4 linked regions of the Schizosaccharomyces pombe genome follow. Changing the gene in region 2 together with the main gene of any one other region gives a genetic interaction. Each region holds a gene or a part of one and is shown on either strand. Other genes may lie near its edges.

The links.
Region 1: mutations in ecm29 (region 2) and SPOM_SPBC16C6.01C together harm fitness less than expected from each alone (positive genetic interaction), as found in Schizosaccharomyces pombe (one large-scale study listed by BioGRID).
Region 3: mutations in ecm29 (region 2) and usp102 together harm fitness less than expected from each alone (positive genetic interaction), as found in Schizosaccharomyces pombe (one large-scale study listed by BioGRID).
Region 4: mutations in ecm29 (region 2) and bzz1 together harm fitness less than expected from each alone (positive genetic interaction), as found in Schizosaccharomyces pombe (one large-scale study listed by BioGRID).

The regions. Positions count from the first base shown.
Region 1 is NC_003423.3:4,317,501-4,324,184, forward strand, and holds SPOM_SPBC16C6.01C (lysine methyltransferase), read right to left. Parts: upstream 4,131-6,684; 5' UTR 4,042-4,130; coding exon 2,620-4,041; 3' UTR 2,576-2,619; exon of another isoform or gene 2,512-2,575; 3' UTR 2,337-2,511; downstream 1-2,336. Other genes in the region: m-AAA protease Yta12, read left to right, coding at 1-1,109; GET complex subunit Get1, read left to right, coding at 1,447-1,533, 1,582-1,948, 2,042-2,103; protein Spo2, read right to left, coding at 4,721-5,122; vps1302 (lipid transfer protein), read right to left, coding at 5,329-6,684.
Region 2 is NC_003424.3:4,751,127-4,761,701, reverse strand, and holds ecm29 (proteasome assembly chaperone Ecm29), read right to left. Parts: upstream 6,889-10,575; 5' UTR 6,696-6,888; coding exon 1,656-6,695; 3' UTR 1,476-1,655; downstream 1-1,475. Other genes in the region: SPOM_SPAC1782.02C (uncharacterized protein), read left to right, coding at 816-950, 1,051-1,401; sdu1 (PPPDE peptidase family protein), read right to left, coding at 6,914-7,519; pro3 (delta-1-pyrroline-5-carboxylate reductase), read right to left, coding at 8,060-8,908; DNA-directed RNA polymerase II complex TFIIS subunit Rpb9, read left to right, coding at 9,370-9,410, 9,478-9,544, 9,668-9,717, 9,760-9,892, 9,968-10,018; mid2 (septin ring organizing protein), read left to right, coding at 10,443-10,575.
Region 3 is NC_003423.3:3,422,722-3,428,743, reverse strand, and holds usp102 (U1 snRNP-associated protein Usp102), read left to right. Parts: upstream 1-4,264; 5' UTR 4,265-4,512; coding exon 4,513-4,633; exon of another isoform or gene 4,634-4,686; coding exon 4,687-4,956; exon of another isoform or gene 4,957-5,013; coding exon 5,014-5,372; 3' UTR 5,373-5,522; downstream 5,523-6,022. Other genes in the region: plasma membrane glucose/fructose:proton symporter Ght2, read right to left, coding at 1-1,172; ESCRT II complex subunit Vps25, read right to left, coding at 5,550-5,738, 5,783-5,931, 5,987-6,022. UniProt on the Schizosaccharomyces pombe protein: Involved in nuclear mRNA splicing.
Region 4 is NC_003423.3:2,463,325-2,470,951, reverse strand, and holds bzz1 (diacylglycerol-binding protein Bzz1), read right to left. Parts: upstream 4,925-7,627; 5' UTR 4,780-4,924; coding exon 4,741-4,779; exon of another isoform or gene 4,697-4,740; coding exon 4,670-4,696; exon of another isoform or gene 4,616-4,669; coding exon 4,552-4,615; exon of another isoform or gene 4,501-4,551; coding exon 4,380-4,500; exon of another isoform or gene 4,302-4,379; coding exon 3,265-4,301; exon of another isoform or gene 3,219-3,264; coding exon 2,862-3,218; intron 2,819-2,861; coding exon 2,554-2,818; intron 2,486-2,553; coding exon 2,467-2,485; 3' UTR 2,213-2,466; downstream 1-2,212. Other genes in the region: SPOM_SPBC12C2.04 (NAD-binding dehydrogenase family protein), read left to right, coding at 737-1,891; ATP-dependent RNA helicase Dbp5, read left to right, coding at 5,094-6,605; srm1 (spermidine synthase), read right to left, coding at 6,856-7,627. UniProt on the Schizosaccharomyces pombe protein: Plays a role in endocytosis and trafficking to the vacuole. Functions with type I myosins to restore polarity of the actin cytoskeleton after NaCl stress.

The sequences.
Region 1 (6,684 bases), on a different chromosome or scaffold from region 2:
GACGTGGAGGACAATTTGGTTCCAATGATGAACGCGAAAGCACTCTTAATCAGCTATTAGTTGAAATGGACGGTTTTACGTCTAGCGAACATATCGTCGTATTCGCTGGTACTAATCGACCAGACGTATTGGACCCGGCACTTCTACGTCCTGGTCGATTCGATCGTCAAATTACGATTGATCGTCCTGATATTGGCGGTCGTGAACAAATATTTAAGGTCCACCTTAAGCATATTAAGGCAGCCGATAACATCGACTTAATTGCCAAGCGTCTTGCCGTCCTAACTTCTGGTTTTACAGGAGCTGATATAATGAATGTATGTAATGAAGGAGCGTTAATTGCAGCACGATCAAATAGTAATGAAGTCCAAATGGTACATTTTGAGCAAGCTATTGAAAGAGTCACGGCAGGTTTGGAAAAGAAGAGTAGGGTACTAAGTCCTGAAGAAAAAAACACCGTTGCTCATCATGAAGCTGGACATGCGGTAGCTGGTTGGTTTATGGAGTACGTCGATCCACTATTGAAGGTCTCAATCATTCCTAGAGCTCAAGCCCTTGGCTATGCTAGTTATTTACCCAAAGATCAGTATCTGATGAGTCGAGGGCAGATTTTAGATCAAATGGGAATGGCTTTGGCTGGGCGTGTTTCTGAAGAAATATTTTTTGGACCAGAAAAGATTACTTCGGGAGCTTCCGATGATTTTCAAAAAGTAACGCGCATGGCTCAAGCGTATGTGACCCAATATGGTATGTCTCCGACTGTTGGTACTATAGCTTATCCCATCGACACTCGGGAAACTGTTCAAAAACCATTTTCTGAGGCTACAGCTCAAATGATTGATGAAGAAATTCGAAAGCTTGTAAAGCATGCATACGAAAGAACTAAGAAACTTTTGCTAGAACATAAGCAAGGCTTAGAAAATATTGCTCAACGTCTATTACAGAAAGAAGTCATCACTTATAACGAAGTTGAGACGATTCTTGGACCAAGGCCATATGCATACAAACATTTAAATATTTCTGAACTTATGCGTCAGTCTGAGTATAAAAATGATCACGATCCTCGAAATCCACCAATCCCCCCATCTCCTCAACAACCTTCTGCCTAATTTGTCAATTTACTGAATTTAAATAAAGCGTTATGAATGAAAATAGTTACTTTCATGGATCTCATGATCAAAGTATTTGTCAATTGAATATCATATAGCTATTTTATCTATTTTTTCTATTTAATATTACAGAAGCTAGATAAATATACTTAACATCAATTCTTCTGAACTTTAAAAGGTTAATAGATTATTATTTTCTAACACAAAATAGCTAATATCGTAACAAACAAACTTGTGTTTAGTTTCGACCTTTAGACCAGCATGTCATAGGGAGCGTGATACTCAACAGTTACACGTTTGACACTAACCACTGTACTTTCTTACAAGTCCATATTTTATGATGGATCTGATTATTTCAACAATTTTATTAAGCTTATTTATTCATTTCTTCGATAAATTTGCAAAAAAAAGGACTATTGATGGGGTAATTTAACATATATACTTGTTGTAAAGAAAACTAATAATGTGAAAGGCTTATCGAATTTACGTTAGTGTTTCTAATAATAAAGATTTAAAGAAGAACAAAGAAATTTTAGAGCAGCTGCTTACTGTTAAGAAAGAGCTAAACGCTACTAGCAGTCAAGATCAGTTTGCTAAATGGGCCCGTCTGAATAGAAAGTATGAACAACTCAGTCAAGAGTGGGAAAAACAATCAGCCAATGTTAAAATTTTCCAAGATACTTTCAAGCGGGTTTTAAGCCTTTTTCTTTGGATTTTAACCCGTGGATTCCGGTTTTATATTCAATTCAAAGAGTCCAAAACACCTGTCTTTTTCCTCCCTGCATTCTTGCTTCCTTCTTGGGCTCTATGGGTGCTATCTCTTCCACGATCAATCTACGGTATGTTGTTTTTAATGAAAATTCTGAAAATCTTTTTTTTATTTTTATTTTCATTTATCACAATGGCAGCTGAAATACTAACATGGCATGTAGGATCGGTTAGCTTAACAGTTTGGAATTTTGCGGTTCAAAAAACTATTTCCGGGATATTTTGATCTCCAAATCATCAAAGACGGTGACTAATTTTAATATTTTATCATTTAGTTTAATTAACTAAAGGGAAAAAGATGCCATATGTATTTTCAGTAAAGTCATTTTATAAATGCGTTTTCTACTTCCTTTTCTCATAAGAAAGAATGCCATGGAAAGCATAGTTTACCATGCACGATTAATATTATGTTATTCCTTCACAAATTGTACACTTTATGTGCTCTACACTGGTTTTCATCTAAATTGTCATCGGATTTCTTATTTCTATGCCTACTAATTCATTTGCTTAATTTGACGCTTTCATATTTCTGATGCTGTTTATACCGAAAGTTTGAAATGGCAAATAGGTTATTTATTACACAGGACATCTAGAAAGGGAACGATGCAGGGTTTTGGAAAACATCATAAAGTTACTACAATGTTAATTAAGAAGGGCACAAAATTATGATTAAAATTTAAGCTGAACTTCGATCTTACCTTTTCCTTTTATGCAACATTTCCAACCGTTGTATGTTGTTTTTTTAATCTTCAAAATTTTCAGTACAAAGATAAATTGTTTCTTGCATTGATTTTTCGAGTAAATTAAGTTCATGATAAAAAATTTGTAAGACTAAACGAGACCTATTCTCTCGTTTAAGAGTCGGATCGCACAATAGAGTCTTATAAGCTTCAGCAGTCAACCCACCATTTTTGAAACGACTAATGCGCTTTTGACACAGCATCTGTAGAAATTCTATAGCCTTACAATAAAAAGAAAAACCAGAGAGTTGAGCAACAACCTTTTCTTTTTCTCCCTCCTTATGTGCTATAAACACAGCCCAGATTTCATTAAAATACTTTGTAAGCATTACTATATTCATATCGCACTTTTGGAATTTGATTTTGTAAATGCAAAAAAATAAATATAAGTAAAGCCCGTAACTGGGACCATGATCTGTTATTATATAAAGATCCATAGGTTGTCTTATCATTACTGAACGTAAAGTCTCAGACTTGTCATTTGCGTATGTAGTTGGGGTGACCAGCAACTCCTGGGTGTTGATTATTCTTTTTTTATGAATCCACTCCATATAAAAATTTCTGTTAGTTTCATAAGCAATCATTGTCATGTCGACGCGCCAAACTTTGCAAGCGGTATCAATAAATCCATACTGCGTGAACAATTCATCAGCGGCAAAGTTTCCGAAGGAGTTGAATATTTCGGACATCTTTCGTATATACTGAAAAGAAATAAATTCTATTTTGATATCGCCTTTATGATCATTTGACTCCTGACAATGTAGCGAAGCAATAGCTGGACCAGACTTGTGATTAAAAATATCGAAAAAGGGTATTAAAGATAAACCGTAGTAGCTGTTAACGTAAAAACACCTGCTTTGGACGAGAACACAAGTCTCTAAATACTGATTCCATTTTGGACAAAGCTGTTTGAGATCAGCATGTTTATAAAAGTAAGGGCGGACCAATTGATCATATTGATTTTTGTATACTCTTAAATTTGTATTTATTACATCAAGCATTGAGGTTCCCTCAAGACACGTTTTATCTTTCCATAATAATGGGGAATCAGGCATACAAGTTTCGTCCAAGGTGTTTAAATAAGCGTTCCACGGACTATCTGTTATATTTTCCAATATTACAGTTATAACGAGCATGACCAGCCCAACCTGATCTCTATTGTCAAAGTTAATATCATCAGACCGATTAGATTCATTAAAATGTGTATACAACGAATCTCCAAATCTTGAGTTGCGAGGACTCAGAATGATCCTTCTAGGAATCTTTGCTAAAACTTCAAGTTCATCTATATCAAAGGTAGAAAATATACCATCTCCTGCGACCCCACTTGAAGCGATATACAGTTTGGGTGAAATGTAAGCTTCGTGTTTTGCTAGCCATTCAAGTAAGGGTTGGTACTTCAAAAATTGCTTGGAATTGTTCATGCTTTATTTAACATGTTTTAATAAGTAGTTAATAATATTTTTTATGCGCTTTCCGGCAATTTTGAACATTTGAAAGTTAATATCTTTTCAAAGCAAATTTGATTTTAAGCGTAGGTAAATACTCCAACCTTCTGATGTACACATTGATTTTTTGAGTAAAACTTGAACGTATCTTAGAACAGAAGATAATTAATTTCTCAAATTATGTTTAATAAAGCACATTAGTCTGTTCAAACTTGATTTTTAATCCGCTACGCGTTTTCAACCTGTCCGATACAGAAGGGCAATGCAGGATGGATCGTAAATATAAAAACTACTATAAGAATATGATTGAATACGATTGAAAAGGGGTAATAAACAAACGCTTTAAATATAAAAAGCTTCTTCATGGTGATAATTTTACCAAGAGTTGTACAGACTTTTCGCAATAATGCTTTTTCATACAAATAAATTATTTCATTTATAAAACATTCATAATTAAACAGTAGATACTTCCATCAGTAATGGAGAGATGTAAAAAACTAAAAATAATATATGACATAGTTTGCACATTACTTCCATTCACTATCCGTCGTAAATTGTCATGTCAAATTTTAGAAGGAAAAGATACACATAGACTGAGTATGCTTAATAACTAATAAATTCGAAGAAATTTACATCGACTCATATGTCCCATTTTTTACGGTTCGCTTGAGGAACTAGCATAATATGCGGTTGCTTGTTCTGTTCTTTTCTTTAATTTCACATTCTCAATACAAGATCTTTCATAAGCCTTGCATTCTTTCTTCAGCGTTTGCTCAAGAATCTCCTCATACTCAGTCTTTAGATCAGTGATACTTATTTTATTGTGCAGGACTTTTTCCACACAATTAGACAAGCGATAAAACAGTTCAGCTTGATAAGCCTCATTGTCATATTTCTCACTTAATAATTTCAAAGCCATGTCCTCAATTTTAGCATTAAACTCCTCTTGTTCTGCTACCATCAAAGCCATTTTTTCGTAAGCTTTAAGCAAGTGCTCAAATCGCTCACGCATTAATTCCTCGCCGTAAGCAGAAGAATCGGACATCGTTATGCTCATAATCGGTTTTTTTTTCTCTTTCACAAACAATTCTAAGTTTGGTGTGGAAAGATACTCACAGTCAAAGAGGGATTCACACCGCTGCCAAAACACAGCAAATGTAAACAAACAAGAAGAATTCTATTCAGTTAAACAATATCAATTGAATAGAAGAAAATATACAATAGTTTAAAAAGTAAACAAAAATATAAAAAAAAATTGATAATTTAAAGTGGGGATATCTGCTTCAATCGCAATCTATAATGTTCTGAATAAGCAGTAAATGCAGCGTTTATGCAGTTTTGCCTCATCTCCTGCGAAGCTGGCAAAGGTAAATATCTCACTGACTTGTTAGACAACGTACAAACCAAGTCATGCTCAGATACCCGCAAACCACTAATTTGTTTCACGGGTACAGCGATTTTAACAATATAATTACTTCCGGTTATAATAAAATGCTTCGTACTGATATATAGAATGTCGACATTTTGAATTTCAGCATGGTAAAGATATTCATCAAAGGCATATTTGCCGTCATCCAAACAACTTAACATATATTTTCCGAGCGACTCGTAGGGTTTAAATGGTACAATTAGACCTCCAAATTCAACATATCTTGGCACACGTACTTTATCAATTTCAGGATTAGTACGAACATCGGTTGAGTTACGAATGCCTTCACTCACGTTGCTGGTCATATCAAGCAATCCTATAGCAGGTTTGGTAGCTAAACCAAGCATACCCTTGCCAAATCCCTTCAAAAATTTGCCAGCACTGTTGTTTTTTGGATCCGTAAATGGCTTTTTGAGACCTTTGAATCCACTAGACATGCTGTCGTAAAAGCTGTTAGCTCCAGCGGTTACGCCATATACAGCTTCTTTTGGCCTATTTCTTGAACGAAACCGTCTTCTAGAATTTTGATATTTTGGATCCATAGTCATAGTTGAAAGACCTTTAGAAATCGTCCCAGTAATCTTTGATACACTATCTGAAACACCATAAATAGTTTTACGCATGAAACTAGATGTTCCACGAGCAAATGAATCACCGAATGATTGCGAATCTTGTAACAAAAACCCCTGATAGGGTTCATAAAACATATCAAATACACCAGATGCAACGTTATTGAACAAACCAACGGGGTTTCCCAAAAAATCAGCTCTCCCGGCAATTTTGTATATTTGGTAACCAACCTGCTGTTTATAATGACTTGCCACTCGGTTTGCCATTTCGGAAAGTGTGCCACGAGCATTTTCAAGAAGAATGGAATTCAGTTGCACGGGAGCATCATGAATATTACCCAATGTGCTAATCAGTATACCTGTCATAAAATCTAATGTGGGATTGGAAGATTTGACAGCTGGTTGATCCGATTCATAAGAAGTTTCAAATGATATATTTAATCGGGTTGGTTGTAAATGGAGAGTCTCAAAAAATACGTTACTGCGATAAACATCCGCGTCAAGATCTGGTATTTCAAACTTATCCGCAAAAGCGTTCTTGCTGAGACTTGCAGAATCTTTAGAAACATCGGATGATGGATAAAGCAATTGTAACAACGTTAAAACCAATCTATCCTCCAC
Region 2 (10,575 bases):
AAAACTGTATATCTGATATAATAGATTGTATGTATGCAATTTGTGGTACGGTGCCACTTACAAAGAGGTTTCGGGGCACTTACCAATGCGAGAACAAATATCACAAGCACACATTCTAGTCAAATGAACGAGAATCCTGGCATAATTTATATTTAGCTGAAAGTTTGTAAAATTGAATTGCCTTTTGTAAAATACATCGTTTCAGTTTATGGTCAATGTAATGTATTTCCAAAAACAACCGTTGTCAACCCTTTGAGACCTTCATAAAAATTATTTAGATGCTACATACAATATATCCTTTGAAAATACCCTCCTATAATTAGTAAAAATGATGTACTTTTCAAGATCCTAAAATTCGTTGAAGTGGTTTTAAAAAATATAGAGTTCTTGACTTGAAATCTGTCAGCATCTCACTTTTTCATACCAAAATAACTTTGAAGAAATAAAACCAAACGTATACTTGTAATTTTGTTATATTGATTATATTTCTCAATTCAATTCACCTTCTAATTCTAAATACAGATAGCGAGCGCTGGCAACTAGCAACAATAGTGAAGTTAAGTTCAACTATCGTAATATAACCATTAATTGAGAGTACATACTTCCCAGAGCTTGATACTACCGTAAAATAGCAAAAATCAGGTGCATATAATTGGTGCGACGTTGAGAAAACAAAAGTACGAACGAAATATTCATCGAAACTCTCTACATTTTCTTTCCGAAAAAAACTTATTAGTTTTACATTCTCTTTCTAAACCACGGAGTACAGTCTCTAGAAGTTAATAGTTGCTCATTTGTCGTCTTCTGATTTCACGATGTTGTTCTCTTTTCGAGCGATAGTTCTTTTTTATTGTTGTATGCTAACATTTGCTGGCATTGGATTTTTATGGAATCCCAAGTTTGTAGTAGAAAGTGGACTGGTCGCGTTAATTGGTGCTTCTATGGAAGTTGTATGTGATTATAACTTTATTGTTTTAGTAGATAGTATTTTTTTTTTTTTTTTAATTTCTTGATTAATGTTTGAAGTGATATCTGACCATTATAATTTAGAAACCATTGATAGTAACACAAGACAACTTATCGACTCTTGCATTGTCCGGCTTGGTATTTTTGATTCTTGGAATGATTTATACTATCTCATTGTTACAAAGCAATTTCCTGTTCTTCAGTGGAATTACTCCAATTCGTGCTATATTTGACTTTATCCTTACCGGCTTTATTTACCTCAAAAAAGAGCATATCGCTAGCAACAGCCTTACTTTTACTTTTGCATTTTGCGATTTGATGTGGCAGTTTTGGATGTTTGCAGCAATGAGCGAAGAGAGGGCTAAATACTTGAAAAACCAAAAAAAGGCCGAAGAATTAGCCGCTAGAAAAGCACGTGAAGTTGAAGAATCTTAAAAAAAAAAACCAAGTGACTGGCATCTAGTATTCTTCACTTGTTGTTTATTTGTTGTAAAAGCTATTATTATCGTTATTGGATTTTCAACATCAATCGCTTACATTCTAGGTTTAAAATCAAATATGAATACATTAGTCAAAGGTTTGTATAAAATATTCTTTAATTAATCCTTTACAATGTTAGCATTAGAAATGAGTGTTTAGAAAGTTCAAATGGCTGATCAGCTTTATCACTAGCTATAAATATAATGAAGCTAATTTCTTAAAACACTTAAATAATTTTCGCCGAAGATGACTTCAGCATAATCTTTTGCTTTTGGTGACGGATTGTCTTCGTAACAACGATAAAGAATATCTTTATACAGTAAGAATTCCTCGTTAGACATTATCTTTTTTAAGTGAGGAGCATTTTTCAGAATTGCTAATTTCACATTCCAATGTAAATAATTTTCATCAAGGGCATTTGACAAGTAAGTTAGCAACATCTCATTACAATTCTTATTTCCAGGTCTGCTGGAATTAAACATGGCATAGACGCTATTGCGCTGAAGCGCAATTTTTTCCTCAAGATTCAATTCATCATCTTTATCAAACCATTCCTTCTGCAAAAATGTACCACATTCATTTAATGATAGTTCATACAAATCAAGCTCTCTATAATTTTCATCAGATAACAGTTCACCAACACTTTCCATTGCATGGCTTTTGTAAACAATATTGCGTCTCTTAAATTCTCTAACAATCACTTGGTGAACTTCTTCCATTTTTTGCGATTTAATGAACTCAGGATATTTAATTAAAAATTTAACATAAGCCTCAAGCAGTAATTCCTTCCCAGGCCAGCTTTTATCTTTCATTGTTTCATTTAAAAGCACGTAGATATCATTTTGTCGATAAGTGAGTCGCGAAGTATTGACAAATTCCAATAATGCAGCAGCAGCAGGACGTTTGACATCCCATTTTGTAACAATTAAGTTTTTTTGGATAAGAAGGATAATTTCTTCCGAATACAGGTTCACACTGCTTCCGGCAGATGAAAGTTCATCCCATGCTTTACTTAAAACCCCATTTATCGAAATGGAAGAAGAATGTTTCCCAAAAAAAATGAAAGGAAAAAAAAGAGAACCAAGATTAAGGAAGACGTCGGGTGCGTATCTCGACGCATACACGGTCAATTTGGAACTGATTATTTGTTCGTTGGTATTTCCATCGTAGAATTTATCGATGATTTCTTGACAAGTTTGTGAAGCTATTTCCAACGGGCAAACTCGTAACAAATAGCCAATAGCAGATGCAAATGCATCACTTACTGCAGCATTTCTATCAAAGCAAGAAGATTTCAAGGATTGAAGCAGCTTTGAAGCAAACTGCTTGACGAGTGGTCCACGACGAATTACTAAAAGCATCACCACTTGGGCGCTGCCTATTTTGGTAGGTACACCCCCAGGTTTAGCAATCATTCTATTTAATATTGGATATAATGTTTGCATTGAGCTTTCATCCAAAAGGCCGATACACTTCTCTAGCGTATCCATCATTGAAGAGCTCTGAACGGCTGACGTTCTGGCGTTGTCAATATTTTCTTGTTTAATGCTGTAATTTTTGGCGTGAAAATCCAAAAAGGTAGCAGCTTTTGATTCATACTCTGTCAAATATTCAAGCATAACCTGCATAATGGCCGGCACAAACGAAGTCAAAGTAGAATTGCCAGTACGCACAAGTTCAGTGATGGTAGAGTATGTAAGTGAACGAACTTCTTTAGCCTGATCATAAGCGTGTTTTAATAGAAATGGTAAAGCTACTGAAACAATCCGTTTGCCTTTGCAAATTCCGCTTGGGCTAGTATTGTGTGAAGTCTTCTCCAAAGATTGAATAACTGATCTTGCTAAAAGCTTACAAAGTGGAAAGGACGCTTCCCTAACGCTCTCTTTAATATCATCAAGAGTTCGAAAAGACATGTTCCATATATCCTCTAATTGATTTAGATACTCGGTCACAGGAACATTAGAAAGAAGACTAACCAAAGTGTTTACACTGGATTCCCTATCTCTCCAAGATCTGCTCCCCATAAACTCGAGGCAATCCTCCACTAAGTATTTACGATGAGATGCCAAATTGAGATCTGAAGGTACTAATGTGTCCCAAATTTCACCCATTGTTTTGGCAACATCAGGATTAGGGTCATGTTTAAATCTATAAAGCTTTTTTAATAATGAAGAGCTTTTAGAAGTATCAAATGAAAACGTCTTTCTTTTTTGATCCTCGGGAATACCTAAATAACTTATACCAGATGCCAATCCCTTACGGGCTTGCCAGAGAGAACTGTTACCTGCTATGCTCAAGAATGAATAAATCAAATCAGGATTACCACTCTCGGATGCTAAAGAACAGATATCCTTATAGGTGGCTACAGTACCTTTATTTGTAGTGAAAAGGGCAGTATCTGCGTCCAAAGGAGCTTTGGTTTTTTCATCAACGCGGTCAGCAGCAATTGTGCTTATCAGATTATCAGTAAATGATTTTCTTTCGTCCCCTTCTAAAACATCATACATAGCTTTGAGGCCTCTTGACGCAGTATCCTGAACAAAATCATCTTGAGTAACCAAAAATGAGAGAAATGAATGATAAATATCATTAAGCCGCGTCATTGTATAAGTTTGAGGTTCGCAATAGCGAACTATGTAAAAAAGCCATAAAGAAGAGGCCCTACGAAGTAAGGGTTTTGGAGAATTGACACAATCAGTTAAAATGAAATCAAGGGTAAAGCAATAGTGATCTGCTTTATAATTGTCCAATTGTTTTTGAAAAAAAATGGGGCACGTGGATTTCACGAAAACGTTTCTATGTCCACCAGCAAGTATCGACATGGCTTCAGCACTCGCAAACAATATATCAGGAGAGTCCATGTGATATGTAACATAGATGGCTTTAAGAATCTTTTCTGCCATTTCATCATCTGAAAATGATAACGACATACGTGATATAACGTGTAAACATTCGACCTTTACGTTGGTATCTTCAACCTCTTTTAGAAAGCGTAGCAAAACATTTAAAATTTCGTCAAAGTCAACGCCATACGAAGTAATCCAGTCTCTAGTAAAATAAACAAACAATTCTTTATAAATAGCAAGTGAAGTGGTCTTTTTGTGCAAAACATTGGAACCAAGATATTCCAATAAAACAGAAAAAAATTCTTTTATACTGCCAGAATTGAGAATGAAAGAATCGACGGCTGCTGAATTAGTTTGAGCAGCCAAGTATGAGATAGTATAGCCGATGATTAGAAGAGCAGTCTCAGCCTTGAAAAAATTGTCATTTTTATTGTTAGACGTTGAGATAATAGTGAAGCAAGAAGAAAGTACTTCTGATATACGAGTTGAATCTTTTGTACTAAGTATTATTCCCAGTATTCGTGTTGCAGTATTACGCAAAGCAAGTGGAAAGTTAAATACAGACGTTAGAAAATCTAACTCCGGTAAAGAAAATGTAACTTCAGGTGGTGCAAAGGATACCAATCTGCTGAGGGCGTAAGTGGGTTCAAAGTGCATGAGTAGAGTACCATAAAAAACATATTCTAAAAATACATTAAAATTTGACAAAGAAATGCACTTTTCAGACACCATTTCTCTTAACTTGGAATCTTGAATCAGTAAAGCGTCTATAGAAGATAGCTTGTCATTGTCGTAAAGCTCTAAGCTTCTATCCGCTGAATAATAAATGCATCTCTCAATAAACTCAAGAATGGCCAAACAATACTCTGCAGCATTAGATTCCCAAAATTTTTTTAAATCATGGTCCGACAAAATAAAAGAGATTACTTCAGAGGCAGAAGGATAACTAGCGGCACGTACTTTATCTTCCTCTTGAGCTTCATTCGTGGAATACACACTATTATACTGAACCCATTGAGATAAGTTTAGTCCTTTTTTAGCTTCTTCAATAAAAGAGTGGTGAAATACGAAAGGATTTTGTACCTTTAGACAAATAAAACGAGCTGGCAAATAATCAAAAGGAAAAGCAACCAATACAAATCGAAGTGCGCAATACGCAGCAGGAGACTCGGGTGAATCAAAAATAAAGGGTTCTAATACTGGCAACAATTCGTTAGAAAATCGAAAATTACTATAGTACGGAATAATAATAGAAAGAGCTTCGTCAATTGAAACTCGTACGTCTGGTAATTCAGATTGTAAGGAGGTCAATAAATTTGTCAGCAAAGAATTAGTAATCAGATGATTATCAACCTTGGTCAGTAAACCTATCGTTGTATATAAAAATCCTCTAAGTAAATCACTCTGAATTATATTACTCGATAAGATGCTAAGAATTTTTTCCAATATCATCGCAGCTTTAGGTTTAAGAAAATTTGGATCAGCTTTGTCAACTACCCAACGAGTAAACTGTATTAACCGGGGTTGCATACTAGGAGGTGCTTCAAGAATGAATTCAATACAATTTATAGCTTTGTCAGTATTCGCAGCAATTTTACTTTTAAGTAAATGCTGAATTGCCTTGTTCCTTAAGCTAATGGAAACAGAAAAGTTTGCGTGCAAAGCTTCGATTCGAAACTTATCAAGCGCTATGTCTAATAGAACGTTCACGTGGGACAAATTCTCTAGATCAGGTAATCCACTATCACGCGTAAATTCATCTGCCAGTCGGGCAACTTCAGAATGAGAATCAGCAGAGGCAAAAAAGTAAGCCAACCACTTCCAATTTGATGGCCAGCTAGATAAATGAATCCACCGAAGCAGACTCAAGCGGTAATCTACTGTTTTTTGGGAAAATTGCAGGTCACTAAAAATCCTTTGATCTTTCTGAATCAAATAGAATGAAGAAAGAGATAAAATGACATCGTTAGAGCATGTAATAGCCGAAGTTGGCTTTGAAAAACGAAGTAAACGAATTGTCAATGTCAATAATACTAATGGGTATTCATTGACATGATTTAGACAAATCTGGAGAAGGGCCAAATTTTCAGAACAAGGTATCCTTTTTTCGCCTATAGATATGAAAGCAAGGAGAAATCTTTTTCGCAAAGGTTGATTTGCTTCAACGTACTGGCTTACTAAGGCTTCAAGAGGTAGTATGGCTTGCGCGTTATTGTTGAGCCTAGTCATAATGTGGTTTGCAATTGAAATTGTTTTGTTTCTCACACTTTCATGAGGCGAATCGAGTTTTAGTAAAATCGGACATAAAAAAACTGACACAAGCGATTGAAAGGAGTCCTCGCTTTCCGCTAGAGCGAGCTTCAGCTCTGCATTGTTTAATAATCTCAATTCATTTTCAGCCATTATTGTAGAGTTAATTATAATCACTAATAAAAAAACACTCTACAATAAAATACCAAACAAAGATGAATAAAGAGATATATATCAGAAAGCAAGTAATTAAAAAAAAGTCCCAAATTGACTTTACACTTAATTGATAGAACAAGGCATAAATAAAATCTACAATTTTGGATGTGTGTGTTGTATTTCGTAGGTTAAAAGGCTGACTAACAGCATGCGACTTAAGGAAGTGAATCAGTGATGAGGTTATTGAGGTCAGCAGAAGGAGGAGGTGCGGAAAATTTAGGAATATCTTTATGAGCTTTTTTACTTTTTGATACGATTAAAGTTTCTTCATCTACATCTGAAGAAGAATCCGAGGAATCATCAACGTCGGATGTATTTTTTTGACCGTGCTGTAATAAGGCATTCGTGATCGTAGGAAACGCCAATCCAATTCGAGAAATTCGATTTAAAAAAGAAGGGATAGGGCTGCCCGTAAGTTCAATTGCTGCAGCATTCGTGAAATGATTGCAATTTCTCTCTAATAAAGAATATGATAACCCCGTAAATTCTTGACTCAAACGAATCAAAATTCTATCCACGTCGGGTTTAGGGAGGGTACAATTAGGTAAAGCAATAGAACAGCGCCATCTACACCCTTCTAAAGGCGGTCTTGGCATGGTAGCAAACACACCGGTGGAGCCAGGAATTTCGTGTGCTCCGAACGCATATTCTTTACCTTCTAAAACCAATCCTGTATGGTAAATACCAAGTCCAAGAGTCCATGCTAGTTTGTTTACCGGACTGTCTGGCATTAGATCATACACATTAATGTATACTTTCATATTCGAATACGTTCGGATGGCGAAGAACAACTTGCAAATTTCCTTGGTCCTCCTTAAGCAGGTTGAATTTTAAGATTCGATACCTGTACAATTAAGTATTTTTAATAAAAAAAAGTAGAGTCGAATTAAGGATAAAAATTTAAAATACGGGAGCTGTTTATGGTGGTGATTTTGTTTACATCGGTACGACTATGACAATGTTAAAATAATCAAAACATAGTACGTTTCTTCAATATTGAATACCTTTAGCTAAATTCACTACGATAGCAATCGCAATGAAATGGGTTTAATTGCATACAACGTTCTAAAAAGTTAATGAAATATAATCTCGCTGTTCGAATACGCATATTATTAGTAATGTAACAGAATTGCAAGCTTAAACAGAGGAATCATTGAATGAAACTAAGTCACAACGCTTTAATACAACTAGATAACGAAACTAGCTTTAAAGAGGAAACAGAAGTACTAACCCAAGAATTTTATATACAAATCCATGTTTGGAACCAGGATATTTAATAGCACAAAATGAATTTGCTAGTATCATTTACCCAGGCCAGAAGCAGTCTTGGTTGCTTGTTCTATACCACGTGCGATTGTGCTTCGAATTTTTCCATCTTCCAATGCCAACAAACCACTAATTGTACATCCGGCAGGAGTTGAAACATCATTACGAATCATAGCAGGATGTTGACCTTGTAAAACCATACGACCTGTACCAACCATAGTTTGGGCAGCCAATTCCTGAGCCTGAGGGAACGGAATACCCATCATTACACCACCATCTGTCATAGCCTCAATCATAGTAGCAACAAAAGCAGGTCCACTTCCACATACAGCGGTAGCAGCATCAATAAGCTTTTCGGGAAGTTTCATTGAACGTCCAATGCCATTGAATACCCATTCAGCAAACTTTATGTCTTCTTCAGTTGCGTTGGGTCCCGGGCAAATTACGCTCATACTTTCACGGATTCGACTAGCAGTATTGGGCATAATGCGAATCACCCTAGTACTTTCATCAAGCATACTTTGCAATGAAGAGATGGTCTTGCCAGCCAAAATTGACAAAATTAATTTTCCTTTGAGCGCTTCTTTCATCTTTGGGGAATTCAAAACATCCTCTGCGGCCTGAGGCTTACAACTCAACAACAAAACGTTACTAATCGCAGCCATCTCGGCATTCTCTTTGGCCCCCATTACAACTTTAACACGATCTCCGAAAAGCTTTTGAACATCCTCTTTTTCTTTAGGAAATTTGACACAAGCATAGAACTTATTCGGAATGATAATTTCGTCAGAAACATCGTTTCCATTTTCAGCAATGGAATCAAAGATTCCAGTCAAAAGTGCTTTTCCCATTGTACCACAACCAAGAACACAAAACCCCGACATTTTTTAAAGTTATGCTTAAAAATGTTTAACTATTTTTGTAGTCTTCTTTTAAAGCGAAAATAAATTCGACTAAAGCATATGCTAAGGGATCGTTAATTCCAAAATCAAACTCATACTGTAAATTACCGTTTTACTCGCTGATGTGCATAATGTAAGATACTGAAGTATGATGTTACAAGTTTGTAGGACTAGTCCATGTTTGAATAATGCTACACGTTAAAGTCAATATATCTTCTATATAATTAGTAATATTAAGTATATCGCAAATAAATTTTAAAGCAGCTACACAGTTTTTAACGAAATCTTGTAGAGACGTTGTAGATAAACAAAAGCTTTTTCGAACTTATAGATGTGAACCATCAGGACGCTGTTGTCCACTGTATTTTCCATATCCACTAACCACCACGTTCTTTTGAAAGTTTATTGCGTTGAAGTAAAATACTTTTGTTTGCTTTTTTAAAATGTCAAATTTTCAATATTGTATAGAATGCAATAATATGCTGTACGGATTAGTTTCTCAAAAAGATGACACTGAAAATTGTTTGAAAACACTAACATGAAATAAATAGGTACCCTAGAGAGGATAAAGTGGATCGTGTTCTGAGGCTAGCTTGTCGTAATTGTGATTACTCAGAGGTAAGCTTGTTTTTTTCTCCTACTGGGTTTATTCACTTCAAGAAAAAAATTCGAAGTTCTTTTCGATTACTTTTTTCCTCATCATTTGGAAGTTTTAAATATCTCATCAGCTAATTTGTATAGATCGCTGCTACTAGTAAAGTTTATCGCCATGAGTTACAAAGCTCCAATGTGTAAGTTAGATTTCATCCTTCGAATAATCACTAAATTTGTAGAGAAAACACGACGGTCAGTCACGACGCTTCAACGGACCCTACTTTACCTAGATCAGACAAAGAATGCCCGCGTTGTCATCAACATGAAGCAGTTTTTTATCAGACTCATTCTCGTCGGGGTGATACTATGATGGTGTGTTTCGCATTGTTTCATTGAGAAAACAATTTTAATATTTAGGTTTAAAAACAATTTTACTGACTTAATTAGACTCTGATTTATGTTTGCGTACATTGTGGATTTGCTTTTGAAGAACAGTAATATGCGACAATTCGGTCTAACAAGGGATTGTAAAACTAGCTGCGTCCACCAATGGCTCTTAGACTTCGGTTTAAATGATCCGCTTGATGTAACCACTCTCTCGCTTCTGTGCTGGAAAACTGGATTTTCGAGTGATACCAGCCACCTTTGCCGAAAATGGATTTACCAGCCTCTCAATCATATGCTCGCCTCCTTCCTTTATATTAAGCAACGCGCCTACCAAAACACTTGAATTTCTTTATTTCACATTCGGTGTACCTTCTGGAATATACTGAAACTGTTTCAGTTATTTGTATACAATAATCCATACGGAATAGCCTTGTAATCCGAATACCAATTAAATAAAAACCCTTAATTCTTTGTGCCTTTATTTTTTTTTATATTCTAATTTCAGCAGAGCTGTTAAATTCCAAGGCTTTCCATAATGTTGATGACTGCTTCTCAACAGGATCAGCATGCTAAAATGTATTTAGCTGACATCCATAGAGCATTGAGAATTCCTTCTCCCATCCCAAGTACTGATTACGAATGTTCTGACTATGCCTCTACAATCGCAT
Region 3 (6,022 bases), on a different chromosome or scaffold from region 2:
GCGGCAGGAGCCCAAGTTTGAGCAAATCCAAAAATGAAAAGACATGCCATGACAATCATAACGGCACCAGCACGGGTATTTGAAGTACCGTTCTTATGATATAAAGCACGAGAACCGACAGCTGAATAAATGAAAAAGCAAATTGACTGCCAAATACCACCAATGATAAGAGGGTTACGACGACCAAACCTTTCCAATACATACATACCACCAAAAGTGCAGCCAAAATTAACTGCATCAAGAATCATAGCAGATAGGTAAGGAGAATTAATACCAGCTCCTTGCATAACTGAGAAACCATAGTAGAAGAAATAGTTGTTACCGGTCAATTGTTGAAGCGACATAACAAACATACCAAGGAAAGTACGATAACGAATGTCTTTACCGAAAATGCTTGCCCAGCTGCAAGGGCCACCAGCAAATTCTTCGTCAATAGATGATTTGAGACGGTGATATTCATTTTGAACTTCCTCACTATCAGGAAAAAGCTCAGCACTTTCAGAAAGAACTCTAACAGCCTCTTCATCCTTGCCAACTTGAATAAGATAACGAGGGGATTCGGGAAGGAAGAGAATTCCAATCATGGTAATGATACCCCAAAGGAGATTAATACCAATTGAAACACGCCACTGGGCAGTTTTATGAAGTTTGTGAGTACCCATATTGATACAAGCGGCAATGAAAATTCCACCAGTGACAAACAACTGATAAGTGACGACGACGGTACCACGAATACTGGGAGGAGCAGTCTCTGATTGATATCCAGGAGCCAAGACAGAAAGAGCGCCAATACCAATACCAGTCCAAATCTTGGCAACCATGATTTGTACCCAAGAGGGAACAGCGGTAACTTGAACGATGATACCAATGATATAAACAGCACAAAAACCAATGATAGAAAGTCTCTTACCAAAACGATCGGCAATGGGAGAAGAAATGATACATCCAAACAAGGAACCAACGTTAACCATACCAGTTAAAAGACCTTGACGAGCCGAAGACAAAGAATACTGGTCGGTGATCGGGTCATATCTATCAGCATAACGCTCACGAAAATCGCGCATACTAGTAACACCACCAATGGAACCGGTATCAGCACCAAACATCCAACCGGCCATGGAGACGAAAATTAACATAACAAGGGTAAAATTCTTTCCACGCTTGAACCCCATTTTGATAAAGTATAAAGGAATCTAATAAAGATGAAAAAAAACAAAAATTCTATAGAAAGGATGTAAGTGGAAAATAAAAGATTGAATAAAATTAACCACACGTCTATTTCAGTTGCAACACGTTAAGCAGAAATGATAGAACAAAGAACAGACAGTTTATGAGTTAGAGATCTTGACAAGAGATTCTCAATAAATAAAAATTAAAAGAAAAATTAATCTAGATTATGATTTTCAAGCACAGAGAGCTTGTATTTTCAAAATCGGTATAAAGAAAGGGTAACCAAGGAAAGCACAATGCTTTTATTGAGCTTTCTTTGGATTTCGTTCTTGTTTAACCAAAAAAAGAAAGGATTTTTAGGTAAATGAAGACTAAAGTTGCTCTTGCACTTAAAAAGCAAGAATAGGTCTAGGTAAAGATTTTAACAGTCAAGAGGGCAGCTTTTATACTAAATTCGGGAAGAGAAACCCCGACAAAAGTATCAAAAGTCCTTTGCTTTCAGTGAAATTTTAGACAGGATCGCCGGAGAGTTTTTGGTTATACGTCACAATATTACAAGGGCAACAAGGTAGTTAGCAAACTCTTGTATCATTGGACGCCGACTTAAAAAAACGCAGTCACACACAAATAAGAACGAATAAGATGTGGAATAGAATTTAAACGACGTGTATGACGAGGATCAACAGCTCGTTGAAAGTCAAGAACGAGGTAAAAATGTCACGATATCATTAATTCTCCATAGCAAAAAAAAAAATTCAATCGTAAAATGATACACTGTACGTAATGAAACTGATGCATATACTGGGGAAAGACACTATTAGTGAGGTAGAAAGCCGATAACAGGATGAAAAAACGACTTTCAATAAATGTGATGTAGGAATAATTCTCAAAAGTAAAGTAAATTTAAATACTTTGGCGACCGAGGCTGCAAGTTCGGACTGCTAGCAAATACAGAGTGTATTCCAACGTCAATAATTTTAGCAAAGTAACCGAAAAAACCAAGTATATTTCTATACTCCTCATATCGTTAAATCAAGATTGAACACAAAAAAACGTTTCCTGAGGCAAAAGAAGTAAAGTGTCTGCAGTAAAATTAATTCGCAAGGCGAAAAAATAATACCAATGGTGGCCATACGTATTGGAACCAGCAAATATCAAAGTTTAAAACACAGCATACTCTCATCGCTGCATGACTATCTCAAAGCTGGCAATAGAACAATTAACGTTACGGAACCATAATCCTTCAAATTTCGATTGCTTGCATTCTCGAGCTCCACATATTCGAGTCCATAACGGAACTAACCTAAATGCGGAGTTCCTCTAGTATTAACTAGTAACATGAATAGAGCATAGCCGTGCTCTTTTTTTTTAAGAAAACGTCACGCAACGTGTATCTTATCTCTGTCCTATCCAAGTCAGGATAGCTAGGGGCCCCCAACCTGGAGACCATACATCGACCGCGACACCAACCATCCTAGCGAGACTCCCTAACAAGAAGGTAAATATGGATGGACAATGAACCTTTTCAAAAAAAAACAGAATTCTCAAGCGATATATTCGCTCTTGAACAGTTCGGTGTAAAAGGATACTTCTATCCCTTGATTACGTGTACGCCCATACTTCATTCGGACTATAGAAGAAATATGGAGCTGTAACCCGTACTGCAATTGTCTGTGTTAAGAAAATGTAAACGCTGCACACTAAATCATCACTAATTCATCGCTAACTAACGTAGTCCCTAAAAAGTTATGAACTTGGTAAACGACTTTTGAGGCCTTGGGACCTCCTTAAATACGCCCAACTCATTACTAACAAGGTTTGCTATGTCCGTGAAAAGCGCCTATTGTACATATATTGCTCCCATATATGTGAAGCTTTTGCCCAATCATTGTAAGACAGGGTCTTGCTATATTTCCCTACCCCGCTCCATTCTTCCCAAGTCTGAGAAAAACTGTGGAGAAGCCTACCAATTTTGCCTAAGGGGATTTTGATCCCGCCTCTGCAATCTATTGGACGATAATAGCTATAACTACATTTGATTGGATGAAAGACATGTGATGAATGCTGGATGGTTTTGTTGTTTTTAAATGACCACCGATAATTTTTTTAGTTAGTACGCATACATTGATGAAAGCTGAAAAATTATAATAGGGTGAATAAATGAAATTCTTTTTGTGTCTTTTACTCTAATATCGTCTGGCAATTTTCTATTTTCGTACTTCGATAGCGCCATACATGTCTTGTCACCCGTTTTTACGAGCTAGGCTTAGAAATATCTTGGAATTTTTTTTCAGACATGTTGATGATTGGCTGATACTTTTTCCAGTTCTGCCTCCTCCACAATTTGCATCCGCGTTTTCCAGAGACGTTGGGGCAATAACTTTGTCTAACATTAAATTGAAATTACAAGGGTAAGTATTTGAATCAAGACTAACCTTTATACGTTGAATGTCTTCGATATTGTAGAGAATGCCTTGAAAAAAAAATTTTATTTGTGTTAATACAATCTAATATTGTGGAATAAAAAATGGTTTGTGACTGCTCTTCTGTTCTCGGCTGTTGTATTTCTTAATAGGACGGCTCGTAAAATTCGTTATTTGCGCGTCCAGTACACCATCGATTCCCATATTATCCACAGTTTACAAATAACAATATTTATATCATTTTCTTTACTTTGGGTAAACGCTCTCTTTCAGTAACTAAATCAATTGTTGTTTATAAAATTTTTATTCTTTTGTTTGCGCGTTCAAAATTTGTCTGCACGGTAAATCATTAACGCATAAACTCGGTTCTTTTACCTAGGTATCTCGTAAATTATATAAGGATTTGTACCATATTGTAACAAAATACAAGGCAAACTGAATTATTGTACAGATTATCGTATTCACTATTCAAGCATTCGTAACTTTTTCTGCAACTGAAAACAAGATTAATGAGCAACAACATGGTCAAACATAGCGATGCGTTATCGTGTTAAAACTACGTCCATTTATTGAAGTTCTTCCTTTCGCGATCTTTAACTTGGATAAGGAGTGTTTCTCTCCATTTGATATTTGGTACATTAGAGTACTGTATTTTGAAAACAAGCGCTTTTAGAATACATCCAACGAAATATTAATGCTGGCTATAATTTACATTTTGAAATTGAATGTAAAGTCAACCATTACGAGCCATATTTACTAAAACAAGGTGGTACCTGAAAGACTACTTCTTTTGGTAATTAGCTGGAATTTAATGCCATAAGCTGGATTGTCTTCCAATTTTTAAATACTCGTGTTTTTTGATTCATCATAACATTAGTGCCGAAATTCACTGTGAATATCTTTTTATATTTAACATCCAATGGATCCTCAAACAAATTCGCATCAAGAGGTTCAACAACCATCTCCTAAAGAGACAGACTCTCAAACACCGTCAGAGACTCTCTACATACGCAACATTGAAGAAAAAATTCGTCTTACTAGTATGCCACTAATTTAAATTGTTTTAATTTAATTTAATTTCTAACAATCGTAGTGTTGAAACGAATTTTAGAACATCTCTTTGGGTCTTATGGTAAAGTCATAGATGTTCAAGCAAGAAAGACTTTGCGAATGCGCGGTCAAGCATTTGTAGTATTCGACAACTTGGAGAACGCGTCACGAGCGTTAAAGGATTTACAAGGATACCCTTTGTATGGAAAGCCCATGATGATACAGTACAGTAAATCTAAAAGCGATATTATCGTACAAAGAGAATCTCCTGAAGAAATAGAAACTAGGAAAAAAGATAGGAAAAATAGGAGAGGTATAATCTTTTTTATTCTAAAATCAAAGACCTCACTTTACTAACCTTATATTATAGAAATGCTTAAACGGACTAGCGCTCTTCAACCCGCAGCTCCCAAACCCACTCATAAAAAGCCGGTTCCTAAACGTAATGTTGGAGCTGAGCGTAAATCGACAATTAATGAAGATTTGTTGCCTCCTAATAAGGTACTTCTGTTACAAAATATCCCTCAAGAAGTAAACGCAGACGTCCTTACACAAATTTTCGAAGCGTTTTCTGGATTTCAAGAAGTACGTATGGTTCCCGGTAGAAGAGGAATTGCATTTGTTGAATACGATTCTGATAGAGAAGCAACGGTCGCAAAAAATGGGACAACAGGTATGTCCCTCAGTGGAAATCAAATAAAGGTAACATTCGCTCGGAAGGCCTCGTAGTTGATTCTGCAACTATTTTAATTCCCTCTTTCAAATTTTTGTTGCAATAATCATCCAAAAGTCACCTTTCGAAATATATAAAGCTCCTATCATTTTCATAATTGATCATTTGTGTATATAAATTATATAATGCAATTTTGCAGGCCCAAAATTATGTATATCAAGCATGTAATTATGTTAAGCTTTCAGTACCTTGAACCCGCTATATTTTCCAGACGATCCTTTCATTAATTCGATATTTCCTTTTTTCATTAGTAGCTCAAGAACTTTATGGAGGAGTACTTCGTCTAAACAATCTACCTCTTTATATTGTTCTTGAAGTTCGTAAAATGTACATATAGACCCTTCTCGTCCCATATCGGATAGCTGTAAAACAATTAGTACTTTCGACTATGCAGAAAATGGCTTACCCATTTCAAGATCATATTCCCCCATTCAGATATAGACCTCCAGTATACCCAAAACACGTCTTTAGGATTTCGCTTTTCAGTCCATTCTGCTAGGTTTTGTTTCACCATATCCTCTACTATTTCTCGAAACACCGAAAGAGGCAGCGTTCCTATTTGGTAAGAAAGAAAGTTAGCACTAAGGAGTAATACAAAGAGTTTTCTTACTATGAATTGTACTGTTATGAAGCAAAGAACTTTCTA
Region 4 (7,627 bases), on a different chromosome or scaffold from region 2:
TTCTTCTTTCTATTCATTGCCTCAATATTACATAAATTGAACGTAAGTAGGGTCCAAATTTTCCAAATGGCTATTGCTAGCGAAATCAGCACGTTGAAAAAATTTTCTCCTTTTTATGTTTTTACTCTCTCTACGCTGTAATTATCTAGGTTAACTTATCCTTGCAAAATACACTTCCTTGTTTTGCCGGATCTGTAAAGATCGTTGCTTAAATTTTGTAAAGTGAAATCTTAAATGGCATGTTAAAAATGGCTCGGTCGAGATGTCAAAATTTCGTTCTTTTGTCGCTCCTAGAACTACTAGTTTTACTTTTATATCCTTGAACTCTTTCATCTCCGTCCATCTTATACAGTACATAGCTAAAGTGAGAACGTTCCTTAATATTCGGTTTGTTGTATTTGTTTATTTACAACATGCAAGTTAATCCGAATACGTAATGGTTTGGAAGAGCTCCTTACGTTAGCGCTAAAAGAAAATATATAAGCGTAGGAAATATCATATTTTATAAACCTGTCTTTTACCCATACCATACGATAAGTTCAATTAGGAAAAAAAAAACAAAGAATCCTCAATTTGGAATTCTCATAGCTGTTTTCCTTTTTCCTTTTACTCATTCATTTTCTCGTATTCATTGTTGATCAACTCGGTCTTTTTGCACAACCATTCACATAGGTTGAGCCTGTTGTTTATCTTTGTTATTTTCTGAACTTGTTTTTATATTGCTTTGTTTGATTCAATGACTGCTCTATCAACCAACTCTTCTTCTGGTGGGATCTTCAAGATCGCTATTGTTGGCGCCGGTGGCATTAACTTTGGTACCCCCGAGGGACCTTGGAACAATGCCCAGAGAGTTGAAAAGGTGTTAGGAAAATCACTTCGAGTAACTGCTCTCATCAACCCCTTAATTAACGAAAGCGAGCGTGTTTTGAAGTCTAAATGTGCATCTGACGTTGCTTTCGCTTATGAAAACACCAAGACGTATGTCTCTGTAACTGAGTACTTGGAATACTTGGATTCCCATCCTGAGGATGTCCCTTCTGCTTATCTCATTGGCATTCCTCCTGATTTCCATGGCTGCACAACTCCGGGTATGGACATGGAGTTGGAAATTTTAAGAAAATACCCCAATGCTGCTCTATTTATCGAGAAGCCTATTACTAGTGCTCCTGTCCAAGGTGCTTTTAACCTCGTACATGAATTGGAGAAATACCATGCTATCATTTCAATTGGTTATATGTTCCGTTATTTAAAGATCGTTCAAGCCGCCAAGAAATACGTTGCCGATAATAACTTGAACATCGCTTGTACCATTGCAAGATATAACTCTGCTTACGAACATAATAACAAACTTTTCTGGTGGTACATGTCAAAGTCTGGTGGTCCCGTCGTTGAGCAAGCTACACATTTCTGTGATTTGTCCATCTATTTCGGTGGTGATGTCGATACTTCTACCGTCAAGGTAAACCGTGTAAACTGGTACGACCCTTGTGGAAAATTAGCTAAGGTTCCTGTTGACGAGGAGTCCATTCCCAAAGAGGAGCGCATCCCCCGTTTCACCGCTGCATCATGGAAATATAAGTCGGGTGCAGTTGGTATTCTCGCTCATAGTATCATTTTACAAGGAACGAATTATGACACTTGTCTAGAGCTTCAAGCAGATGGTCATTATGTTCGTATGGTTGACTTTTACGGTCAACCCAGACTTTACATTCGTTCTCCTGAGGCTGATAGCGAACGCATTATTAATTTCCCCGAAGATGATCCCTATTATAATGAATTTGATGCTTTCTTGGGTGTTGTCCAGGGCAGATATCCTCCTAGCCGCATTTTGTCCAAGTTTGACGACGGCGCTAAGACATACGAGTTGACGAAGATCATTACGAATAATTAAAGTATAGAAGAATTGAACACACAACTTTTTTTTCCTTATATTTTCACCATTTTGGCTTTTTTCTCTTTTTCGTTACCTTTCATGAAAGTTTTCCCTTCGTTATCGGGAATGTTTTTAGACTTAGTTCCAATATCACATGTCGTTTATATGTTTGTTTCAATTTGCAGATTACTTTTGAAAATGTACGATGACATATCACATCCTTCGATTCCTCTCTGTTGTAATGACAATGTGTTTGTATGTATTCGTTAAAAAATTGTTGATCAATTTTCTCGTAACGCGAAACTGTATTCTTCAGTAAACATAAATTTTGGTTACTAACGAAAAAAATATAGCATAGTTCAATTTAAAAAATTTTCCTTAGGCATAGCATTTAGTATAGTTATTATAAATATCTAAAATTCAAAAAAAAAAAGATCAATCTAGCAAAAAAATACTTTGGTGTATCGACCAACTACATTGTAGTGGATAAAAAATCGTAAGTTATTATTGACAATTTGCTTTTCGTAATACATAAAGAAGGTAAAATTTATCAACAATGAAGTAGATAATATTCATATAGATATTTCAATGGTTTATACATCTGTAACATAACTAAGACATATGTTAGTTTTTGTGCAAAGAAATGGAGAAATGAATAAAAAAAAAAAACAAAGACTTACTTAGCTGGGAATTGACCGGTCACTCCATTAAGTATCCCTTCAGACCATCCGTTTCCAGCGTTTCGATTTGTGACCTGAATTATATCACCCTCTTGGATTGATAATTCCATATCGGATTGAGCTGTGTATGCATATAACGCCTTAACATAAGAAGAATCTCCATCAAGTGTCACACTCGTATTTAATTCATCATTCAATTTAACATAAGAAGCTGGAATCAAGCCATCAGTTCCATCGATTTTTACTCGAACCCAACCAGAGCCATCTATATTGATCTATTAGAATGGGATTTTTCAAGCTTTACTTACCATCTGGTTCAAGTAGCGTAAATTCCTGTCCTTCAGAAGCTGTGATTACCCCTTCATGTTCCCCGGTAAAATCGTAAAGAACTACACCGTCAACCTTTGACGCTGGTTCAGCAGGCGTTGTTTCTTCTGTTTTCACGTTGCTTAAGGAAGTTTGATAAATACTACTTGAATCCATATCATCTGTGTATGTGTTACGATAGGATTCATAGGCATTTGAAGACGACGCAGAAGCATCAAAATCATCAGTGGCAGTAACACTGGTATCTACAGCATCATCGTCGGCCACTTCGGGCTCACCATTTTTGCAGTTGGCGGGAACAAGAAGTTCACACCTTGCATGGCATTTGAAGCCACAATCTACACGTGTTTTGTTAGTTAACGAAAGAAAGCAAATATTTCGTACTTTTGCAAACACATCCACGCTTCGATAACCCCCAAATAATTTCACGACAGTAACTGCAACTTGTCGGAAGTTTAAAACTAACATGTTTGAAATCATGAAAACGACCTCCTTCTTCTAAATTATTCGCAACTGACGTGATCTTGTTGATACGAACCTCTAAATCTTCTATTCTGGCCTTTACCATGAGCTCTTTCCCTTCTAGATTTATCGAAGCCTTTTTAGATTCAAATGACTGGTTAGCACTATTTGGATCATCGACGCGTAAACCTTCCAATTGTGAATCTAACGATACAAGCTCGCCTTTCTGTTTTCCAAGGTCATTTTTGGAGTGGACCAGTAAATTTCGGAGGTAGTTTTTACATGAACCATCCACCACCAGTGCATCCGTGTCATGCCAGATAGGACTAGGTTCAAAATGCAAGTCAGCAGGAAGTGCCCAATTCTTTGAATTGTGCCTTCCGAACATGGCAGAATCAAGGACTGGTTCATTTTTTGCAATTTCTGATTGAATTTCAACGGTTCTTTGGGATAAGGTATCATGGAGAGACTTTTCAATTGAAAAGCTGTTACACCATATTTCATTTAAATTCGAAACCCTGTATTCGTTCAATACTTGCATATGATTAAGGAGCGTTGGTAGAGTTTCATTATAAAACTTTTGCTTGTGGGCGTTGTATACAAGCATACGAAGTAGGTATTTATTTTTCTTATCGAGCATATCACTTTCAGATAATTTTAAATTTCTTTGAGTTTTTTGCTCTCGATATTTATCGTTTTTTTGCCTTGCGCTTTCTAAATCATCGCAGGCCTCATGGTAACTGACCTTGGCTCTCTTCACACTGTTTAACAATGTCTCCTTTTCGGATGAGAATTTTTTATATAAATCATCATAAACTTTTCTTAAAGCCTCTATATGAGACTCTAGTTTCTTCAGTTTTTCAGCAATGTCCAATGAATAGTCATCGGATAGCTTTTGATGAGTTTTTGATGAGCGCGTTAACTCATCCAAAATTTTAGACCATGTTGTTAAAGAAGCACTATAAAATTAGCCTGTGAACAGGAATTCAATATCCATCTAACTTCAATTGCTTGACAGGTTCCAATATTTTACATACCATTCTAAAGAGCCAGCAGACATTGCCGGAGTATCTCCGACTGAAAGGGCTGATGATTTTCTGGATTTCTTCTCCCCATATTTATTCGAAAGACTGGCTAATTTCTGAGCATATTCTTTTTCTAGCAACAAAGTTAGTCATTGAAATTTAACCATTGTCGTTTCTTATTTACCAATAGAACTTCTTTCTTTGTAGTACAATTGAATATCTTCAAGCCATTTCGCGCCATTATTAATCTTTGTTACAATGTGTTAATTGTTGAACTGTCTTCATTTTCATTCTTGGCATACCCAACTGTCGACAACTTTAAAATCGTCCTTTTATATATTAGTAAATATGCCAAATAACTAAAACACCTTACGTGAAGTTCATCACTAAATTTGTATGTTTCCAGGCTCATTATCCAGTATTATCTACACGTTTGATATCGCTGCAATAAAAATTTGTACCGGATATAAAACAATTAAAAAGAAAGTTTGACGGAAGAAATTGTGACAATTTTTGGCTTTACGTTACGAATGTTGATGAAAAGGAAGTACGGTGGTGAATCGAAACCTATATTGTTCAACTTTCACTTAAGGAGTAACTTAGCAATCACCAACTACATTGCCCACCAGAAATTGTCATCCAGTTTGCTAAGTCATCCTTGCTGAGTTTGGATATCTGAACTATAAATTTGATTTTTTTTATTTTTTTTACTAAAAAACATCCAAAATGTCAACTACACTGGGACAGGAAAGCAAAACTGACTGGGCTAGTTTGGACTCTGATGAAGAGGTTCAAAGAATTAGTGATAAAGTCAATCAGTTAAATACTTCAGAAAATAAAAATGAAGATCAAAAAGCAACAAATTTAAGTGACAGATTAGGTCCAAAAATCACTGAGAATGTTGATGCAAAATCTGAGCAAGACAAAGCGACCAACACGATTGCAGAGGACGCCAATACGAAGCAATCTGAAAATGATGAATCTAATTTAATACCAAATAAAAACGAGGTTCGTGTAAAATTAGCAGATCTACAGGCTGATCCAAACTCACCTCTTTTTTCTGTTAAAAGTTTTGAAGAGTTGGAGCTCAAGCCCGAATTATTAAAGGGAATTTATTCAATGAAATTCCAAAAACCCTCAAAAATTCAAGAGAAGGCGCTTCCACTTTTACTCTCAAATCCTCCTCGCAATATGATCGGACAATCACAATCCGGAACTGGTAAAACCGCTGCATTTGCATTAACGATGCTTTCTCGTGTTGATGCTTCTGTTCCCAAACCTCAAGCTATCTGCCTCGCTCCTTCTCGTGAATTGGCCCGTCAGATTATGGATGTCGTGACGGAGATGGGCAAATATACTGAAGTAAAAACAGCTTTTGGTATTAAAGACTCCGTCCCTAAAGGTGCAAAAATCGATGCTCAAATTGTAATCGGAACGCCTGGCACTGTGATGGATTTGATGAAGAGAAGACAGCTTGACGCTCGCGATATTAAAGTATTCGTGTTAGATGAGGCAGACAACATGTTAGATCAGCAAGGATTAGGAGATCAATCTATGCGTATCAAGCACCTTCTTCCTAGAAACACTCAGATTGTTCTTTTCAGTGCTACCTTTTCGGAACGCGTTGAAAAGTACGCTGAACGTTTTGCTCCCAATGCTAATGAAATTCGTCTGAAGACTGAGGAGCTTTCTGTTGAGGGAATCAAGCAGTTGTATATGGATTGCCAAAGTGAAGAACATAAATATAATGTTTTAGTGGAATTATATGGGTTATTGACTATTGGTCAATCAATTATATTTTGTAAGAAAAAGGATACCGCTGAAGAAATTGCTAGGCGTATGACTGCAGATGGACACACTGTTGCTTGTCTTACCGGTAATCTGGAAGGTGCACAACGTGACGCTATTATGGATTCATTCCGAGTAGGTACTTCAAAGGTTTTGGTTACTACGAATGTAATTGCTCGGGGTATCGACGTATCGCAAGTCAACTTGGTTGTAAACTATGATATGCCTTTAGATCAAGCAGGAAGACCCGATCCACAAACATATCTTCACCGTATAGGTCGTACCGGTAGGTTCGGCCGTGTTGGAGTAAGTATCAATTTTGTTCACGATAAAAAGAGTTGGGAAGAAATGAACGCCATTCAAGAATACTTCCAACGTCCCATCACGCGAGTGCCTACAGATGACTACGAAGAGCTTGAAAAAGTTGTCAAGAATGCACTTAAAATGTAAAGCATGTTGATTTTTAGAGATTATTTAATACATAGGTTTCTTGGTACCAATTACTAAAGGAATATTATTTACTTATGCTGGTATTTCACTGGTTTTTTTGCATATCAACTACCGAAAGAGAACGTAATCTCACTTACAAAAAGTAGAGAGCAGAAGTGTGAAAACAAAGAAAAAAGAGTATACATTTTGACTTAAGATTGCATTGATTAAGACGTATGAAACTTTAGCCAAAAAAAATAAAAATGTTTGCTTAAGAGGAGGTAGCCTTGTCAACGACATCACGAGCAAAGGTAGGAAGAACAAAGGAAGCAGCATGAATTTCACTGTTATAGTACTTACAAAGCTTATTCTCTTCTTCGGGAGACCACTTGCGAAGAGGCTTGCTAAGGTCGATGGAAGCATCCTTGGAGGCTACAACGAAGCCGATAGATCCAGAGGGATAGGTGGGGATAGTAGTGTATGCGTAACGAACATTGGGGAAAACTGTTTTAACGGCAGTCAAGACATTGCTGATGACACCCAAATGAATCCACATACACTCAGCTTGAGTAGTAATGACACCGCCTCCACGAAGAGCATCGGAAAGAAGTTGAAAGTAAGGTTTTTGGAACAAGGCTTCGGCAGGACCGTCAGGATCGGAAGAGTCTGTAATAATCACATCAAAAGTATTTTGATAATCTTGCAAAAATTTAAAACCGTCACCAATGTGTACCTTAACCTTGGGATGATTGAAACCTGCGGACATCTCAGGAAGGTATTGCTTGGAGACTTTAATGACATCTTCATCAATATCGCACAAGATAGCCTCTTCGACACATTCGTGTTTGACCACCTCACGAAGTACACCGCCATCACCACCACCAATAACGAGAACTTTCTTTGGGTTGGGGTGACTGTTTAGAGCAAGATGAGCAATCATTTCTTGGTAAGAAAACTCGTCGCGCTCAGTGGCTTGAATAGCACCATCCAAAACCAAAACATGTCCATAAGTTTCACTCTCAAAGACCAAAACATCTTGATAC